2 linked regions of the Arabidopsis thaliana genome follow. The protein of the gene in region 2 interacts with the protein of the main gene of each other region in a biochemical or structural test. Each region holds a gene or a part of one and is shown on either strand. Other genes may lie near its edges.

Evidence for each region. The genes of interacting proteins can lie anywhere in the genome.
Region 1: the proteins of VIP1 (region 2) and MPK3 form a complex in vitro, tested with the Arabidopsis thaliana proteins (one study listed by BioGRID).

What each region holds. Positions count from the first base shown.
Region 1 is NC_003074.8:16,754,621-16,759,406, reverse strand, and holds MPK3 (mitogen-activated protein kinase 3), read right to left. Parts: upstream 2,837-4,786; 5' UTR 2,815-2,836; coding exon of another isoform or gene 2,623-2,814; 5' UTR 2,490-2,622; coding exon 2,332-2,489; intron 2,249-2,331; coding exon 2,119-2,248; intron 2,031-2,118; coding exon 1,893-2,030; intron 1,792-1,892; coding exon 1,459-1,791; intron 1,367-1,458; coding exon 1,183-1,366; intron 1,101-1,182; coding exon 931-1,100; 3' UTR 533-930; downstream 1-532. Other genes in the region: NAXT1 (nitrate excretion transporter1), read right to left, coding at 55-154; AT3G45645 (uncharacterized protein), read left to right, coding at 2,623-2,814. UniProt on the Arabidopsis thaliana protein: Involved in oxidative stress-mediated signaling cascade (such as ozone). Involved in the innate immune MAP kinase signaling cascade (MEKK1, MKK4/MKK5 and MPK3/MPK6) downstream of bacterial flagellin receptor FLS2.
Region 2 is NC_003070.9:16,482,295-16,486,845, reverse strand, and holds VIP1 (VIRE2-interacting protein 1), read right to left. Parts: upstream 2,616-4,551; 5' UTR 2,495-2,615; coding exon 1,896-2,494; intron 1,801-1,895; coding exon 1,668-1,800; intron 1,211-1,667; coding exon 1,126-1,210; intron 1,038-1,125; coding exon 829-1,037; 3' UTR 519-828; downstream 1-518. Other genes in the region: EMB1075 (Pyridoxal phosphate (PLP)-dependent transferases superfamily protein), read left to right, coding at 1-312; AT1G43690 (ubiquitin interaction motif-containing protein), read right to left, coding at 4,257-4,551. UniProt on the Arabidopsis thaliana protein: Transcription activator that binds specifically to the VIP1 response elements (VREs) DNA sequence 5'-ACNGCT-3' found in some stress genes (e.g. TRX8 and MYB44), when phosphorylated/activated by MPK3.

The DNA of each region.
Region 1 (4,786 bases), on a different chromosome or scaffold from region 2:
CTAATGGTTATGAAGTTATGAGAAATATAAAAACAGAGAAACAGAATCTCTCACCTATCATAAACGGAAAGGTAATCCAACCTCCACCACGGCGTTTGGTGCTTGAATCTGCTGATATCGCTGTTTCTGCATCGCCAGTAACTGAACTAGCCATGTCTCAAAATCAAGCAGAAATCTTTCACTATTTTTGTCAACAATGGCCTGAAATTCTGAAACATATATACAGTATAAGTAATAATACAGCAATGATGACTTTCTCGGGTCCACGATATTTTATTCTCCATGCGCAGCAGCTTCAAATAAAGAAACATTAAGAAAGTAAAACAAAAACTCAAAGGTTTCCGTTGATGCAAGTTGAGCCATCACTGTCTGCTTCGTAACAGCCTGTGTGAAGACAACATTATTTCCAACCCAACGTTTTAGAAGTCAACTCTAAATTGTCAGACAAAGGATATTACAATATTACTAAAGAAAGACACATTTGTGCCTAATTATTGCTAAGGAATTGACCATTTCTACTTCAATAATGCAAGCTACCTAAAGCCAATCCCACTAAAATCTATTGAAAGTCATTGAATGAGAATAGACAACTCACGGCGACAGCATTGACTCTGGCTCTAGCTCTATAATGTCTCCCACAAATATTGAGGCTCTGTACATTACAAAATTATATTCTCTCTTCTCTTTGTTTACTAGGGAAGACTCAAGAGTATGTGAAGTAAAAAAGTCTATAGATATTCTTTAATAACTGGAGTACTTTACATTGGAGCTACACTTAATCACTAGCAGTAAATAACATGAACAAACAAATAAAAGTTACAAGATTACATATGTGGAAGAAGTACATGAATAAAAGAACAGGCAAAGATACTAAGTAGCCATTCGGATGGTTATTGGGTAATACCAGGCATTCACGGGGCTGCTGCACTTCTAACCGTATGTTGGATTGAGTGCTATGGCTTCTTGGTAGATCATCTCTTTTATCTGTTCCTCATCCAGAGGCTGTTGTTCGAACTCAAAAGAGAATGGCTTTTGACAGATTGGCTCATCATTCGGGTCGTGCAATTTAGCAAGGTACTGGTGATTCAGAGCTTGTTCAACTGCACAAGATGGTATTTTCAGTTTTTAATCAAAACATAGTGATGGTAAGAAAAACCAACAGAGAACATGTATGAAACTTACCAGTGATTCTTCTGTTGGGGTCAAACGTCAACATTCTGTCAACAAGATCAATGGCCATTGGGTTAACATGAGAGAAAAGTTTAGCTAAGGGCTGACGTGGGAAGTTGGGAAGTTGCCGGATGTATCTTTTCGCATCCTCATTGTGAGTAAAACCGAGATCAGATTCTGTCGGTGTGCCAAGCAACTGCAAGATTCAAACAAATTCATCACATATTCCGTGAAAAGGCAGAATCTTTAAACCATGCTAAAATTACATAACTCTCTAAAATATTTTACCTCTGTCAATAAGCGCATTTGATGAACATGGTCTTTACCAGGGAACAAAGGCTTTCTATTCATAAGCTCCATAAAGATACAACCAACAGACCAAACATCAATAGCAGCTGTGTAATCTGAAGAGTTCAACAGAAGCTCAGGTGCTCTATACCATCTCGTAACAACATACTCAGTCATAAAATCATTCTCTGAAGTAGGTCTAGCAAGACCGAAATCACAAATCTTTAAATCGCAATTCGCGTTCAACAGAAGATTGCTCGGCTTTAAATCCCTATGAATAATGTTAGCTGAGTGGATATACTTCAGTCCTCGAAGTAGCTGGTACAAGAAGTACTGTTTCCATGACAACAAAAACACCAAATCAAGTATCAGTTTCATGTCTCTTCTATCAAATATAAATCCCAGAAAAAAGCCAAGAACAGTTTTTAGTTTACCTGACAGTGTTCTTCTGATAAACTCTGGTTAGATCTGATGATTTGATGAAGATCAGTATCCATTAATTCAGTAGAGATATAAACATCACTGAACTGTCTTCTTAGTGGTGGTGGAACAACATCTCTTATAGCTATAATCTGTTGCAATACCAAATCAAAAAACCCTAATCATGATTTATTTACTAATTTCTACAGATATTTCACAAAATCGAACAAAAACACTAACGTTTTCATGATCAAGATGACGAAGAAGCTTGATCTCACGAAGCGTACGCTTAGCATCCATATGATTATCAAAAGCATTAGCTATCTTCTTCATCGCTACTAGCTCGTTCGTCTCCGTATCCAACACAGAGCTTCACAAAATCAAAATCCAGAAATTAAAAACTCCGATCTCAAAGAATAAAACTTAAGAAAAAGCTCAGAGAAGGAAACATACCAAACGATTCCATAAGCTCCACGACCAATTGGTATAATCGGAGGACGATACTTAGATGTGATCTCGAATAAACTACCGAAGATATCGTAACTTATGAACTGTCCTCCGTGAGTTTCCACCGCCGGAAAATCCGTGTATTGGCCACCGCCGGTGTTCATTTCTCTCTCAATTGATCAAAGTCGAGATTCAGTGGTTGCTTTGAGGTTTGAAGTAGTGAATCTGAAGGTATTTGTATGGTTTTATATAACAGTCGGAGTCAACAGAGAGACTGAGATTGAGGATTGAGCAGAGATGAGTTTTCGCGGTAATTGCGAGGAAGAAGATGAAGAAGAAGAAGAAGAGAGAAGAGGGAAAGGCAGAGAAGATCGTGTGGTTGAGATTAGAGCCGCCTCAAATCGACGGTTTCTGTTCGTTGTTGACTTCGTCAACGTTCTTCCTCTTCCTAACGTCCTTTACGGTTCTGTATCTATCTATCTGCCATAGTTAAATAATGACAATAATAGTGTGGGGATTTTAGTAATTGTAATCTTAATTGGATCATATTCGTTTTAATACGATCAATAAATTAATTAATATACTCGTTTTATTCGTTCAGGAATTAAAATTTTGTATTGTTTTACGTTACGTAAAATTATATAACACTCGTTTTAAGTATTGTATTTTATGCGATTAATTTATTATAAGTATTGAATATCATGTGTGGTTTACGATGGTTAATAATATTATTATTATATAGACTAAATTAGTTTAAAAACAAAAGATACTATTCAATTATGATTTTTAAGTAAGCTATTTTCGATCAGAATTTTTTTATTCTCTTCTTTCTCTAAAATTTTGAGAAAAAGAAAAAATTCTTTGTTTCGTATGCCTTCCCGTATGTTTGTGAGGTTGTGTTCGGACATGGTCCAACTTTTTGTTTCAATACCGTACGGTGAGTTCTAGTTATAGTTACCGGTAAATCCGGTTTTATCGTCGCCGTTCTTTGGTATTTTGCCTTTATTTGTCTTTATTTCTAATAAACTTATTAAGTTTCTTCATTACGAAGAAAAAGTGGAAGTTTAAGAGTTTCGGCTTCATAAGCCTTGTCGTTCAAATTTTGTAGTAGTTTCACTTGATGGGCATGGCGACGTTAAGTCTCACCGGAAAATCTTTTTGGTTGCTTACGTCATTGTGATGCTTCATGCTACTTTGGAATGGTGGACGCTTTCCTTCATATGAAAGAAAGTTTCGTTCGTTTGTTAAATCTGAGTTTAATTTCGTTTGGAAGAGGAAGACTAGATGTGCAATTTCTTTAGAGGGTCTTCAGTGCTCTACTTGAAGCTTCTGGTTTTGCGGAGTGAACGAACTTTCGGTGGGTAGGCGTTCTTCGATCTCAGAAAACATGCCGGCAGTGGTTGGCATTCTCGACAAACACGTTCTTCTCGTCACGTGTCTGTGATTTCCTCATGAGGCGACACATGTCTCTGTGTTGTATGGCTTTCTTATCCCTTCCTCGATGGGTTACTATATTGGGCTCGGTTTGACTTTTGTTGTTGGACTTTTGTTTTAAGAAGGCTTTGTTTTAAGAAGAAAGAGATAGCAAAATAGGCAAAATCTCTATTTGCGCAAATTGGTTTTGGAGTTGAGAAGCGGATCTTTGTGGTTACTTTTCGTTAGGATATCTGTGTAAGAGGGCCTTGCAGAAGTTTTGGATTGATTGGATTGCACTCATGGCTCCATCAGATCGCGTGTTAAGTGTAAAGGTTCCCCGAATGGGGATTAAGTGAGAGATTCAGTTTCTCCCTTTTTAGTATCTTATTTTCTTTTGAGATTTCTGTAAGATTTACTCTTTCAATAGTTCATTGTTAGTTTACAAATTTGATTCGTCTTTTACCGACCAACATATACCATTTCATTTCCAATGAAAGCAGACAAGATAAAGCAGAACTTGCAGATTATGAAAATGTTCAATTCTGAGTAGATGAAAATTAAAGGAGATTATCTATATGTGTTTGATAATTTAATATCGTAATGCTCATTAGCCTATCGAATTCTGTAAGTGGAGTTTTCCACTATTGTAACACTTTGTTGTTATATATCAAAGCCAACACTTATGAAGAAAAAAAAGTAAGCTATTTTCGAGTTCGAACAAGATATTAATATTTAGTTTACAAATTCCTCTAAATAATCGTATGCGCTATATAATTTATGTTCCAACATTATCGTTAAAAATATTGATTTTGTTATGAAATTTATTTAAGTTAGAGTTCTATTTATGTTAAGGAATAACGATGCATCGTTAAACTTCACTGGATTATAACCTTCTAAAACTATTCCAAAGTCATCTAAAAGTGATTTCAAATACTTAACCTTATCAAAACAATGATTGTTTAAATTAGTTCTAAACTTTAAATCGAGTACTTCCTAGATGGACAAACGAAAATCATTAGGTACGGGCAAAATCGAAAGCTTATAA
Region 2 (4,551 bases):
TGCTTGAGAAACGCGCATTACCTCAAAGACCGACTTCGTGAAGCTGGGATTAGCGCCATGCTTAATGAGCTTAGCAGCACTGTGGTCTTTGAACGGCCTAAAGATGAAGAGTTTGTTAGAAGGTGGCAGCTTGCTTGCCAAGGTGATATAGCTCATGTGGTGGTTATGCCAAGTGTTACAATCGAGAAGCTTGATAATTTCCTGAAAGACCTTGTCAAACACAGATTGATCTGGTACGAGGATGGATCTCAGCCTCCTTGCCTTGCATCGGAGGTAGGAACCAACAACTGCATCTGTCCAGCTCACAAGTGACGGCACCATTTCTCATTTGTTGGTATTGTTGTTTTCTAGTAAGCCACATCTAGTTTAAATTCCTCATCACTGTATTCCTGAACTTGGTTTCAATCATCGTAAAATTTTGTCAGTTTCTCTTATTTACAAGTTAAGGTTTCAAACAGTGTTTACAATTTGTAGCTCAATCTGGAGCATGATCAACCTTCACTTCGTCGTTCGCAATCGTTTACCGAGTTTTAGCATTATCGTAACAGCAAGTATGTGCCTTAAGCCGCTGATTTAGCTGCGTGTTTGATGATCGGTGCTTAATGCCTAGGAAAAGTGCTTACTATAAAGATTTTTGGGTAGTATATTACAATGGATACTACTTGTAAAGATAGACCGATGTCGCCATGAACATATCTGCATAGACGCTAACAACACAAAAGCCATTATACATGGATACATACATACTTTTTACATACATCAAATATTGCAGCCCGAAATGAATATAACGTATTTATAACTCAGCAAACATATATAGGTGACACGAACTCAGCCTCTCTTGGTGAAATCCATGTAGCTTGGGAGCGATGGCTGCCCGTTTGTACTCATCTGTTGGTTCGTTTTGTTCCCAAACTGATTCATTGCCGATTGCTGAGATGAGAATTGAGCACGGTTGTAAGAATTTCCATTCCCCTGAGGAATTTCTCCAGCTACCACCTTAAGTCGGTTCAGTTCATCCCGCAGCGCTTCATTCAAAGCTGAAAATTACACCGAACAATATATATCGTAATGAGGACTTTGGTTTACATATTGAGAACGACCCAATGAAAAAGAAAATGGCTTTACCATCCCTAAGTTCAGCTTGTTGCTCTAAAGCTTGAAGCCGCATTTTGAGGTGTTTATTTTCAGTGTTCAGCTCTGATGTTCCTCTCTACACAATATAAGAAAAAGCACAGATTAGAGATGCAAGAGACATGAATCATTTTATCTTACTCCTATGTTGCTTTTATCACTAAAGTGGAAACAAAACTTACACTCTTGCAAGTGTATACATTACACTATTGACATATCTCACATGTTGATTAATCAGCTAAATTAACATGAGAATAACATATCTTATAACACTGCATCTATACTTGTTCCTAGTAGCAAACACATGTCCTCTCTATACACCAAGAAGCAATCTTAAACACACTAAGCAACAATACAAGCTTACAAGCTGCCAAGCTCAAATCAAGATATCAGAAATAGTTCCTTAGAGTAATCTTCACTAATCACATCAGCTTCGTAAAACACAAAGCTTTAAAGATATTTAGTAATCTACTCACCAACCTTCACTAGTCACACCAATTGCATAAACACAATGACAAAGTAATACAAAACATTACCTGTAACATAGTGACTTGAGCAGACAATGTAGTAGCTTCATTCTGAAGTGTCTGAACCTTCCTCTCTAACTCACCAGTATACCTAATCTTCCTCTCTTTCGACCTCGCCGCAGATTGTCTATTCGCTAAAATCCTATCAAAAACCCATCACAAAACACTATTTCAAACCTCAATCAAATCACAAAAAAGTTACAAGCTTTAAGTAAAAAACAACACTAAATTATATACCTTTTAGCTCTTTTAGGATCAAGCAAAGCAAGCTCAGCAAGTCTATCACCACCCATACCCATATTCTTCTTCCCACTATCTTTACCACTCACAGAAGCTAAAATCGATTCGATATTAAACGACGCCGAACTCATCTCTCCATCCATAGAATTACTCCTGCTATGATGATGATTCCCTTTCTTCTTCTCTCCTGAACTTGTAGCTATAAACTTCTCCTCAGTAACACCCAAATCATCGAAGAAATCGGAATCAACCGAGAAGCTACGAACATGGCGACCGAATCTAGCTTCGGGTTTTGGAGGAAGAGAATTAGGAGGAACAACACCGTTCGATGAGGTTTCTTCCGAATCAACGGACATGGGAGAAGCTTGCGGTTGTTGTTGTGATTGTTGTGGTGGTGGTGGAGCGTTGAGGAAGTCTAGAGAAGAGAAATCGATATCGGAAGGATCGAATAAGAGGAGATCGTCGATTGATTCGCCGGAGAAGAAGGTTTCAGAGCGAGCTCGACGGTGATGAGAGATACGTTGACGTGGAGCTTCAGGCATATGTTCTATTTCACTGAGAATCGTTTGATTTGGTCCTCTTCCTCCTCCTTCCATTGATTTTTTTTTTTCCCGGCGGCGAGGTTTTCGCAAACCTACCGAGTTTATTACAGAGAAATGTGAAAGTACAAAAGAAATTTTGTCGAGAGGGGCAGGTAAGTACTAAGTAGGACCAAAGTGATGTGTTTGGTCTGAAAACCTATATTCTCGATATTTACCAACTTATTTACTTTTAAAAAAACAATATATATAAATAAATAATACTAATAATCTTATCCGGTTCTCACATTGAATAATGTTTCGGTTTACTTCAACAGATTATATTTTGTACATTGTAACATGTGTCTACAAGGATCAAAAGTTGAAGGAATTATGTAACTAATCGAATATAAAGACACAAGAACTTCAATTAACAACCGCTCATGATTACTGCTAATATTCAGTAATTCTAAAACGGGAAATCCCAAAAAAAAAAAAAAAAATCTATTTGATCCATGATCAATGATCCGGTGAACCGATTAAACGGGTTGGATGATTGTTTACGAAATCTATTTGATTTTGAAAATATTTAAAGTTTTGTTTTATATCAGTTATGTATAAAACCTTTTCAATTCTTTTCAAGCGGCCACATACGAGCCAACATACCTTTCTCGTCTTTTATGAATATTTAGTCTCTTAAGAATTTCTTTTTTCTTTTTGTCATTAGAAATATAGATTATATTGGTGATACAAGATCGGAATACAATAGCCGGCAAGGTATTCAAACCTTCCAGAAACTTAAGCCGGCGAATATATGTAGACTTCCAGAGACAATGATCAAACCAAATGGGAAAACCCCAAACATACAAATACACTAATCTGAACCAATCTTCCTAGACTCATAGCACAAAAAAAACAAAAAAAATTTACAAAGTCTAAATCAAGATAAAAACAAACAGATGTGGAGAGTCTTTTTTCTTTATTAGTTTATTTTTATCATTGGTGATTTTTTATTATTTTAATATATATTTTTAACTTTTAGTTGGATTTAAAATTTTTGATTACATTACTGTTCTCGTTAGATTTCAATTTTTTTGTTAAACATGACACACTCATTTTTATTTTTCATTTATAAAACTATATAATCTCTATAAATACATAATATAAAAATATCAATTGATTTGCGGTTCGACTCGATGGTCCGGAAGGTAGTCCAGTTTGCCTTCTGGATGATGTTTAAAAACATTGATATTATTCCTACCCTTATCTATAAATAGTGACTTTGATTGCTAGCAAATGAAAAAAATAGTGTTTTGATCTAATTGAATGGAAATAAGCAGCAATTGTTTGGAAACACTTTTTTTTTATTATAAAAAAAATTAAGAAGGTGGATATGTTGTAGAAGTGCGTATAACCAAATCCATTAAAAGATGTTTACCAAACATAAAATACTATCTACTATTGTGGTGCATGCTGTACCGCGATATAATAACAAAAGTAAATATACATGATCAAAAAGTAAAATTTATATGTAATTGTTTAAGTATTGGGATGAAACCATAGTTTCTTAGCCATTTCAAGACCTTAGTCTTAAATCAGAATATGATCAATGTTATTGAAAGCAATTTTATCCAACAATTGAAATATTCATTTGTCTCAATAATGTTCAATAATAGATAACAAAAATTCTACATCAATACACAACATGAAAAAAACGGACAACGCAAAGAAAGTTCAGACGCGTGTTAACCGCCAAATCAGATCAGCAGTTTCCGTTTTCTTTCTTTAGAATCCAATGAGCCAGAATAAACGCTCAAGCTTTCTCATAATACAACATTCTTCAGACTATACTTGGAGGATCTCCAGACCAGCTACAAGCGGCACGCGACCACCGAGTTCTGATACAATCCACCAGTGGTGCATGTTGGACCGGTTTTGGCTGATTCACTTCTGAGTCTTTCTCAGAGCTGCTCGGCGGCAGTGCACATGTCATGTACTCTTCTGGTGTCCATTTTGGAGGAACCGATACGTTTAGTTTTGTCAGCCTTGGCCTTTGCATAGGAACCATCCCACCTTCCACAGCCATTGCTTGACCACCACCGTTTATATCGGACTTGGCAATTCCGTTGAAGTGA